Linked DNA regions of Arabidopsis thaliana. The protein of the gene in region 1 purifies or fractionates together with the protein of each later gene. This does not show direct contact. Each region holds a gene or a part of one and is shown on either strand. Other genes may lie near its edges.

Region 1 (4,666 bases):
CTATCTTCATTACTGTTTCTCGTCGTGGGAATATCAATGGCTCTTACTCCTTGGTTAGCTGCTGGCGGCCAATTAATTGCGTCTCGATTTGAGTTACAAGATGTTCGAAGTTTATTACCAGTTGAAAGCGAGGTACTCCTTCACAACACTTTAAAATAAGTCATTTATCACCATTCCTAGTTTCAATTGTAAATTTAAAACAATAAAGCCATGATTGACCTCAATATCCTTCCGAAGCTCATGCATTCTTGGGGTAAAAATGACTGATCCTTTACTTTCTGAATTTACTTGCAGACGGATGATTTACAGGGTCACATCATTATTTGCGGATTTGGACGAATTGGGCAGGTTGGTATCGTTATCTATAAACTTTGTTGCGAAAACAAACTCCTCTAGAAGTTTAGATAGTTTGATTTAGAGAATAGTTTGGTGATATATGATTAAATTCGTCTTTGACCGCTGCTTTCTAAATGTTAAACGCAGATAATCGCTCAGCTTCTTTCTGAAAGACTTATCCCATTTGTTGCCCTCGATGTCAGCAGGTAATGTAACATGCTTGCCTTGTCTTGCTCAATGTATCTAACCAGCTCTTTATTTGTCTCATTTCGCACCAAAAATCTCTTATTTTACAGTGATAGAGTAGCAATTGGTCGTTCCCTAGATCTTCCAGTTTATTTTGGAGACGCTGGTAGTAGAGAGGTAAGAGTAGAAAGCTGATGAAACAAGTCAAAAGTATAACCACACATCATCCAAAATTATTGACGTTGTTTTACCTATACGTGCAGGTACTCCACAAAATCGGGGCAGATAGAGCATGTGCTGCGGCTATTGCTTTAGACACACCTGGAGCAAATTACAGGTGTGTCTGGGCTCTTAGCAAATATTTCCCCAATGTCAAAACCTTTGTCCGTGCACATGACGTTGATCATGGTCTCAATCTTGAAAAAGCCGGCGCTACCGCTGTAATAACTTCCACAACTTTTCTATTCTCCTTCTGTCATTGCACAACATTTTCAAAGTAAACTGATTAAAATCTCGATACAAAAACTCGTTAGGTTGTTCCTGAGACGCTGGAACCAAGTCTTCAGTTAGCAGCTGCTGTTCTTGCACAGGTACAAGAGATAATTCTTGTAGTCATTAAGTCACCAACAATGTTATTTGGGGTATTTGTTAAACTTGTCGGCTTCTTTTTCAGGCCAAATTACCTACATCAGAAATAGCAACAACGATCAACGAGTTCAGATCTCGTCACTTGTCTGAACTAGCTGAGGTATATATTTGGTCTATTTAAAAAACTACAATTCTTCTTACTCTCCGGTTTAATGGATCCTATGATGGTACAGCTATGTGAGGCAAGTGGAAGCTCTCTAGGTTACGGGTTCTCAAGAAGTACGAGCAAACCAAAACCACCATCACCATCTGAAACATCTGACGATAACCAGATTATTGAAGGCACACTCGCTATCTAACCTTTTTTCTCGCTTCTGGTAAGACCACACAATTTCAACTTCTTTTGCTTAAAACTGTACAGAAACCAAAATCCTTATTTTGAAGAATCTTAGCGGAGAAAAAGTAACAAACTCTCAAAATTTTGATGGGATGATGATGTGTTGAAATTTCTCTAGTTTCTTTCCTCTGGGGGAAAAACAAAGGCAAATAATATTTGTATTCAACATATTGGGTCTAATATGTGAATCTATCCCTCATTTATCCGACACTATTTGTCTGTACTTTCTACCTTTGCTTCACCCTTCAACAATCTTGGCAATCGCAATAACATGACTTGCTCTGATACCACTTGTAGTACATTTAGCTTTGATTGTTGGAGCTCTCGAGTTAAATCACAAGGGTATATATATCTAGTGTGGTACTTTAGACCGCAAATAGAGAATAGACCGTAAGTCAACGAACTTACATGTATTGTTTATATATTGATCAGTGTTAATTACATGATTAATCTGAGTTTAAGACGACTAATCAAATTAAAAAGCTACTAAAAATATGAAGCGGTCCGATTGGATTTATTAAAAAAGAAAAGAAAACGAAAGACTGGTATAATAAAACCGGAAAATTCAGGTGAAATCAACAAACCGGTTTCTTTTGTGATTTGAATGAACTTAAACCCTTGTTGATATCAAAAGAAGAAACCCTAGTCTCTCCGACTCTCCGTAGACGACGAAGTTATCTTCTTCAATTCATCGTCTCTTCTCTGCTCTGCTTTGCTCTAGATCACAAATTAAAAGACTTCATTAGTCTTCCTGTCTCCACCATTACCTTCTTCCTTTTTAACTCAGCCACGACGAGCAGACTATTGTTCTGTTTTCCTTGTATAAAAATGGCGTCGATGATGTTTACCGATTGCTCCTCCACCACGACGTCGCGTCTCATCCATTTGAACCGAAGCAGCGGTACTTTCCTCCTCCGTCAATGCGTCGGCCAACTCCGTTTACAGACCACTGCTTCTGGCCGTGGCTGCTGCATTCGCTCCTCTTCTTCTCCCATTTCTTCCATTTCCGGTAATGATTAAACCTTTTGACTTAATTGAGCACCAAATTTGAACTTGACATCGATTGAAATTTGTAGACAATTAGACTGTTCTTCCCTGGAAAATTGAGTTTCTTTATTCTCATGTTGGAATCATAAATTTTTTTTTTTTTTTTTGGTACAGCTGATACAAAATCAGAGGGTGGCGCAATTGTAATAGATGGAAAGGCTGTGGCAAAAAAGATTAGAGATGAAATCACAATTGAAGTTTCAAGAATGAAGGAATCAATTGGTGTGATTCCTGGTTTAGCAGTAATCCTTGTTGGTGACAGAAAAGATTCTGCAACTTATGTGAGGAACAAGAAGAAAGCTTGTGACTCCGTTGGAATCAAATCGTTCGAAGTTCGTCTAGCTGAAGATTCATCAGAAGAAGAGGTGTTGAAATCTGTATCAGGATTCAATGATGATCCTTCTGTCCATGGAATCCTTGTTCAGTTGCCTCTGCCATCGGTAAACAAAGTCTAATAACTTTCTTCGGAACTTAAATAAACAGTGAATTACAATAGTGTTTTGGGATGTTGTTGCAGCATATGGATGAACAGAACATACTGAATGCGGTTAGTATAGAGAAAGATGTTGACGGATTTCATCCGCTAAATATTGGACGGCTTGCCATGCGTGGAAGAGAACCCTTATTCGTTCCTTGTACTCCAAAAGGATGCATTGAGTTGTTGCATAGATACAACATTGAAATCAAAGGAAAGAGAGCGGTTGTTATCGGAAGGAGTAACATTGTCGGTATGCCAGCTGCTCTTTTACTGCAGGTAATGATGATGATACCTTCTTTAAGATGCCGTTTTTTCTGGTTGTGACATTCGAAAGTTAGTTACATGTTTGGTCTTTATTGTTGTGTTTTGTATTTGTAGAGGGAGGATGCAACCGTTAGCATTATCCATTCAAGAACCAAGAACCCTGAAGAAATCACAAGAGAAGCTGATATTATAATCTCAGCTGTTGGACAGCCAAACATGGTCAGAGGAAGCTGGATAAAACCGGGCGCAGTCCTCATCGATGTTGGGATTAATCCTGTTGAGGTGAGTGGAATTTTCTTTTTGACATATGGTCATGGCGTAATTCAGTGATATAATAAGTTTCAAATCAACCAGTATGCAACATTCATACATGTACATAATATGAATTGCAGGATCCAAGTGCTGCGCGTGGATATCGATTGGTTGGAGACATTTGCTACGAGGAGGCTAGCAAAGTTGCATCAGCCATCACACCTGTTCCTGGCGGTGTAGGACCAATGACCATAGCCATGCTTCTATCCAACACTTTAACATCAGCTAAGAGGATTCACAACTTCCAGTGACGTCACTTAAAAAGAAGATTGCTGGCCTTTTGGGAAACAAACAAATCGTACTCTGTTTTTTGAAGCCAATGATTTACTTTGGTCTTTAAAGAAAGTTATCGTTTTGTTCTATGAAACAAAACATGTAGTTTTTAAGTCACATAAATTGTCTTCAACATTGTTTGTCTCTTCTTGGTATTTTGAGTCAGAACTAGTTTTAACTTATCCCAGCTATGATATATCCCAGCCTCACCCATCGGTCTCTTCGTCATTATACTTTATTTATAACTACCTTTCAACGAAGGTTAATTTGAAACAAGAAAACACAGTCACTTGTTCTACATTACTTTTGTTAAACCCTAACTTGAGCTCGAAGCCACGACCACTGTTCTGTTTTCCTAGTAAAATAATGGCGTCGTTGATGTTAACCGATTGCTCCTTCTCCACGACCTCGCGTCTCATCGATTTGAACCGCCTCAACGGTGCTTTCCTGCCCCGCTGGTGCGTCAGCCAACTCAAGCTTTCCCACCACTGCGCCCGGACGTGGCCGCATGCGCTCCTCTTATACCACTGTGCCCGGACGTGGCCACATTCTCTCCATTCGCTCCTCTTGTATAGACTAAACCTTTTCATCCAATTGCTTACGTATTTTCAGATATCCAACTCTTAAGATTTTACTTTTCTGTTCAGCTGATGAGGCGATGGTATTTGATCAAACGGCTGTGGAACTAAGTATCATGCAGGAGATCAGAGTCGAAACTTCAAGAATGGAGAAACTAATCAGTCCTGGTTTAGCAGTAATCCTTTTTGGGGACAGAGAGTTCTCTG
Region 2 (6,378 bases), on another chromosome or scaffold:
CAAGATAAGAATATATGTATTTATTTAACAAATATGGGAAACGCAATCTTTACTATCACCCATATGGAAAATACTTAGGAATAATATTATGAAAGGATCCTTTTAAGATGGAATAAGATGATTTTATGTACATATATACTACTAATAAATTATGAAATAAATGTAGGATTCATTCTTTTTCTACTTCTTTTTGCATATCCGCTTGAATCTATATAAATCTGTATAAGTTGGAATGTTTTGACTGTATATTGTGTCACATTACATTATACATTACAGTTCCACGTGGTATTTTTTATGATTTATTAAATTTGTATGTGTTAAATAAATTTATACTTCATTCATATAGATAAGAAATGTATACTTTACAGTTTACATGTGTATTTGTTATTAAAAAAAGATAATATAAAAGAATAAGATATGGGAATGTTTACCCTAAAATCATATATAAGAGATTCAATTATCTTTTTATCTCATTTAATTTTGAGTCAGGAAAAAATATATATACAGAGAAGAAACAAAATTATTAAAAATGTAAAATTTATTGGTTAACATTTTGTCTTTACAAAAAACATAGATATGTTAATATAACGAATATAGTAAATGATAGAATAAAGATATTTAGTATGGTTAAGTAAGAAAATTAACATTTTCAATAATTTCGTCTCTTCTTTGCATAGGATTTGTTTGCCAACTCAAAGTATATTAGATAAAAAGATAAGATTGAAAACTAAAGTTGATAAGATATTATATTGTTTCACAAAAATTAGACATTGGATAGATGTTTAAGATTAAATAATCTTGTTAGAAATAAAACTGAAGTCTATGATGTTGCATGTAAGAGCTAATACAGTAAAATAAAATTATAAATTAATAACATGGGGAATAAAATATTTTATTGATTTATATAAGTGTTAATTTTTAGATGTAGTAAAAATATTGAAAATGACTTTTTCACAAAAATTAAAACAAATTCAAAGAAAAACAAATAACATTTTTATCCAATTACGTTATATATTATATTCGTCCAACTTTGAACCGGAAAAGTTTATTAATTTACAATGATTATTAAATTGACAAGTATTAATATATAGATGTTTCACTCTAATAGGTTAAATGGACAACTATATGCGAAAATATTAGGGCGATATTACAATAATCACAATGTAAAGATAGACAAGCACAATGTAAAGCTGATCACGTACAGTTTTGTTTCTTCCTCTTCAATGTTAATCTCTCCATTCAGTTAGAGTTAATTTCTAGTCTGATACATAACAAAACTACAAAGTTTCTCGAGTTTTTTTGTTATTTGATAACTCTCTACACGATCTAATTTCAATATTACATGTCGGAAAACTTCCGGAAAGTACCACACAAATGTTTGTAAGATTGAGTAAAATTGAGTAAAGAGAGCTTTAATCTCCCATATTTGCAAGTCGATATAAATTTGGTATCACGGCGTGTAAGAGATCTTGACATGCTAACCTTACGCAGATGTGCATTGTTGCAGTGCCATATTGTCATTATTGGTAATATATATGCCTAAGTAAAGTTCATATTGATAAAAATTTTATTCAAACACTATTGCATCTGCTTGTCAATCGCATAATAACATTATTAATTGAAAATGTAGTTTTCACTATTATACAATATCCGTTCTTATTTCGTTTAAACCGGCCGAGCCCATAGTATTGCAAACTATCACACCATATGGGCTTTAACTTTACGTTGGTAAAACGTAAAAAGAAAATAGCGATCAAGTCTCAAGAAGGGTACTTTTAGAATTAATAGCAACTTTAAGGCGTAAATAGAAGTAATACAAATAGTTGGGGTTATTATGTAAATATGAAGAAGATTAAGATCCAGAAGATGGAAATGAAAAACACGGCACGCATTTCAAAGCCCAAAACGGGCGGGGGCAAACGTCACGCCTAATCTTATCTTCTTCTATCACACTCTCAGCTTATCTATGACTATGACTCTCATCATCAATTATTTCACACTATTAACAATCACCAAACCAGTGTGAACATTTTAATTCATAATTAGAGTAAGGTCATTAGGCTAAAAACTGTTTGATTTGGATTTTACAACTATAGGATAAGAACTTGTATCGCTGTCACAGATGATATTTTTTGGTCGTTTAAGCAAAGAAATATTACGAAAAAGAGATATTTTTTATTCTTACTTATTTTGGGATTATCATTTACCCGGAACGGGCAAAGCGGTGAGTCATCTTACCTTATAAATGATCACAAACCCGAGGACTGTGAGTTTTCGTGTAGAACAAATCCTTCTCTGAGAAAAAACAACAGATCCGAATTTTATCTTTAATCAGCCGGAAAAAATGGAGAAAGCGATCGAGAGACAACGCGTTCTTCTTGAGCATCTCCGACCTTCTTCTTCTTCTTCGCACAATTACGAGGCTTCTCTATCTGTAAGCATTCTATCACCACACACTCTCTCTCTCTCGATCTATCGCGATCTTTTGGTTGTCTTCTCTTGTGTTTGCAGTCTGGGGATTATGGATCGTTGTTGATCTGGATTCATTATATGGAATTTTCGATTTTGATTTTGATGCTGAATTATAATTTGATTCGAGGCGTGCCTGTGAGCTGAAAATTTTAAGTTTCAGCTCGATTGAGATCAAATTCAAGACTTGGATTTTGTTTTTGTATTTCGTTCACTGGATTGAGATAGATATCTTTTTTTTTTTTGTTGTTGTTTGATTTTTGTTCGATTGGGTTGAATTATCCGTGCTCTGCATGTACTGATGATTTCTTAAAAGTCAAAGCTTGATTTCAATTACTACGTGTGATCTCTTTAACGTGTTCTTTCCAAATTCCCAGGCTTCTGCTTGCTTGGCTGGGGACAGTGCTGCATATCAGAGGACCTCTCTCTATGGAGATGATGTTGTCATTGTCGCGTAAGTCCCATCTCTTATGCTTTTACTCTTTTGGTATTTGGTTTTTCAGCAACGTATGAAGATTTCTCGTCTCTTTCTGATAGACTTACACTTATTGATCCATTGCAGGGCACATAGGACTCCACTATGCAAGTCCAAACGTGGCAATTTCAAGGATACATATCCCGATGATTTGCTCGCACCTGTTTTGAGGGTCTGTCGCTATCTTTTCTATTCTGTTGTTGGTTTTTATTTCCTTTCTACGTCTATTTATAGATAGTTCTTCCTTGACATAGGCATTGATAGAGAAGACGAATCTAAACCCAAGTGAAGTAGGTGACATTGTTGTGGGTACTGTTTTGGCACCTGGATCTCAGAGAGCCAGTGAATGCAGGATGGCTGCGTTCTATGCTGGTTTCCCTGGTATGTTTCTTCTATGTACAGTACAATACAATGGTGAAAAGTCTTTGTTTTTATTTCCTGTATGCTCATCCTGTTATGTTCATTTGCAGAAACCGTGGCTGTCAGAACTGTGAATAGACAGTGCTCATCTGGGCTTCAGGCTGTTGCTGATGTAGCCGCTGCCATTAAAGCGGGATTTTATGACATTGGTTAGTGAATAACCGTCTTTAACTACGCCACATTTTTTCATAGAGAACCGAGCTGACGATATGATGGATGCAGGTATCGGGGCTGGTTTGGAGTCCATGACTACCAATCCAATGGCATGGGAAGGGTCAGTCAACCCAGCGGTACTGATTCTCTCTTATCTGGAGTCTTACTTGGCTCTGTTATTTTAATACGTACTATAATACGGACTATGTTATTTCAGGTGAAGAAGTTTGCACAAGCGCAGAATTGTCTTCTTCCTATGGGTGTTACGTCAGAAAATGTAGCACAACGCTTTGGTGTCTCAAGGCAGGAGCAAGATCAAGCTGCTGTAAGGGAACTGAACTTTTTCAGTATGGTTGTATTTTAAATAACCTATAACTTTGATCGCTATGCTAAGCTATGGAGTCATATTGCTAGGTTGACTCGCACAGAAAGGCAGCTGCTGCTACTGCTGCTGGTAAATTCAAGGATGAGATCATTCCTGTTAAGACCAAGGTATTTTTCAGATCCTTCATACAATAACTGTAACATTTAAGACTTCTCTTGGTGGATTAGTTACTGAACTTCATTCATGTTCTAGTATTAGTCAATAACGTGTGTTTTAAATTTCAGCTTGTTGACCCGAAGACTGGTGATGAGAAACCCATTACAGTTTCTGTTGATGATGGTATCCGACCAACCACAACTCTTGCTTCTCTTGGGAAGCTGAAGCCAGTGTTTAAGAAGGATGGCACCACTACTGCTGGTACTTTTCCCGAATCAATTGTTTCATTATGGAAACCACAGTTCTTATTATCACAATTTTAAATCCATTGCTTCATTTGTTCTGTCGCAAACAGGAAATTCCAGCCAAGTAAGTGATGGTGCAGGAGCGGTTCTCCTAATGAAGAGAAGTGTTGCAATGCAAAAAGGACTTCCCGTTCTTGGTGTATTCAGGTGGGTAATAATTACTTACAAAGCTACGACTGTGGAAGTCTGAAAACCGAAAAAACTGCAGAGGCTTGTGATTTCCATTTACACAGATATGCTAGTATACGTGGAAAATACATTGTTCTTTCTGTATTTGGCTTTTTCTAAGTAGCACACTATTGGACATATTGCAGGACATTTGCTGCAGTTGGTGTTGACCCTGCAATCATGGGTATCGGTCCAGCAGTTGCCATTCCTGCTGCAGTTAAGGCGGCTGGTTTAGAACTTGATGACATCGACTTGTTTGAGATCAATGAGGTATATAGCAAACAATTTCATGATCTTCTTATCACATATCTCTTCCCGCACATTCTGATGATGACCATCTGTTTGAATCCTTGTGTGTTCAGGCATTTGCATCTCAGTTTGTTTATTGCCGTAACAAATTGGGACTTGACCCAGAGAAAATCAATGTCAACGGAGGTGCAATGGCCATAGGCCATCCTTTGGGCGCTACAGGTATATCTGTTAAGAACAGGACTAAAACTGTTAAGCTTGTTCCAATTTACCAAACCATAGAGACTTGAATTAATGAGAATCTCTCAACTCTCAACCAAACCTTAAGAAATCCACAGCCGAGATATATCTTTATAAACTCTGTCCTCACTAATGGTTCTTTAACCAACTTACAAGAGCTCTATCTTGCCGCAGTCCGTCCTTTTCAAAGCATATCAATGTCTACATTGTGTCTATATAATTATAAAACGCTCATGAACAGTTGCTAATACTTGTTAAAACTCTCACAGGAGCGCGTTGTGTTGCTACATTGTTGCACGAGATGAAACGCCGTGGTAAAGACTGCCGTTTTGGAGTAGTGTCAATGTGCATTGGTATGCTTCTCACTCGAATAATTCATTGTGAATTTGGTGTCTGAAATATGTGTCTGAGGGATGGTTTTACTGATTTGGTAAACTCTGGCAGGGACGGGGATGGGTGCAGCAGCTGTGTTTGAGAGAGGAGATGGAGTTGATGAGCTTCGCAACGCAAGGAAAGTTGAAGCGCAAGGTCTTTTGTCCAAGGACGCTCGCTAGAGAGGACCATGCACCAAAACCGTTTTTCACCTCACCTCTCTCTTTTCTGGTCTTCTTGTCACTTTCTTCAGATATTATTATAGTTTCGAATAAAGCACACAACCAATGTTTGCCTGAGTCTTGTGTTGTTCTTGACCAGGTCATGTGTTTAGTATTTTTTTTAAGTGAAGGGGGATAATCTTTAAATCTTTTATATGTAAGAATATTGTTCTTCTCGAATTTCATCAGTTGTTGCTTCTAGAAATTTTAGATTTTTTGGGTGGCAGCCATTTCTATATTTCGATGGATAAGTCAAACGTTCATAAAGTCAAGGGTTCTGCCTTTTGTTTGTGTTTCATGATTTTACCTTGAATTTCATTAACTAAAACAGTGTTAATAGTAACAGTTGGGGTGGTGGCGCAGTTGGCTAGCGCGTAGGTCTCATAGCTACTGAGTGATCCTGAGGTCGAGAGTTCGAGCCTCTCTCACCCCATAATTTTATTTTCTCATAGCTATTTATATAACGTTCCTTCTAGTATTTTTTTTTCTTTTCGTTATAGTATCTTGTCTTTGATACCGGAGACGTTATAACGGCAGTATAAGACGTTATAATCATGTTCCAATGCATCCCCTCAGTTTTGTGTTAAAAACGAGCCATCAATGTTATCATATATGGAAATCATTATTGAGGCTTTGACCAATTAATTATGCGAATTGACCGACTTTGATCACTATACAGAGCAAAACAAATCCACTGAATCATTTATTTGTGTAGGTTCATCTTTTTTGGGCACCGTATTCATTTCTTATTCCATGAATTTGACGGAGTAATTTTGATTTTCTTTTTCGAGTAAGAATCTGGTCAAATATTCGATGAACCTCTAC

What was found. Proteins that work in one complex are often made in the same cells at the same time.
Region 2: the proteins of EMB3127 (region 1) and PKT3 fractionate together in Arabidopsis thaliana (co-fractionation; one large-scale study listed by BioGRID). This does not show direct contact.

The regions. Positions count from the first base shown.
Region 1 is NC_003075.7:258,458-263,123, reverse strand, and holds EMB3127 (Amino acid dehydrogenase family protein), read left to right. Parts: upstream 1-1,834; 5' UTR 1,835-2,335; coding exon 2,336-2,516; intron 2,517-2,668; coding exon 2,669-2,994; intron 2,995-3,071; coding exon 3,072-3,308; intron 3,309-3,410; coding exon 3,411-3,578; intron 3,579-3,688; coding exon 3,689-3,859; 3' UTR 3,860-4,137; downstream 4,138-4,666. Other genes in the region: KEA2 (K+ efflux antiporter 2), read left to right, coding at 1-132, 295-348, 484-542, 633-699, 786-962, 1,056-1,112, 1,196-1,270, 1,344-1,469. UniProt on the Arabidopsis thaliana protein: Catalyzes the oxidation of 5,10-methylenetetrahydrofolate to 5,10-methenyltetrahydrofolate and then the hydrolysis of 5,10-methenyltetrahydrofolate to 10-formyltetrahydrofolate.
Region 2 is NC_003071.7:14,046,950-14,053,327, reverse strand, and holds PKT3 (peroxisomal 3-ketoacyl-CoA thiolase 3), read left to right. Parts: upstream 1-1,927; 5' UTR 1,928-2,344; coding exon 2,345-2,434; intron 2,435-2,846; coding exon 2,847-2,923; intron 2,924-3,031; coding exon 3,032-3,116; intron 3,117-3,198; coding exon 3,199-3,325; intron 3,326-3,414; coding exon 3,415-3,513; intron 3,514-3,586; coding exon 3,587-3,654; intron 3,655-3,734; coding exon 3,735-3,842; intron 3,843-3,931; coding exon 3,932-4,009; intron 4,010-4,126; coding exon 4,127-4,259; intron 4,260-4,353; coding exon 4,354-4,450; intron 4,451-4,617; coding exon 4,618-4,741; intron 4,742-4,833; coding exon 4,834-4,942; intron 4,943-5,229; coding exon 5,230-5,313; intron 5,314-5,404; coding exon 5,405-5,514; 3' UTR 5,515-5,850; downstream 5,851-6,378. UniProt on the Arabidopsis thaliana protein: Involved in long chain fatty-acid beta-oxidation prior to gluconeogenesis during germination and subsequent seedling growth. Confers sensitivity to 2,4-dichlorophenoxybutiric acid (2,4-DB).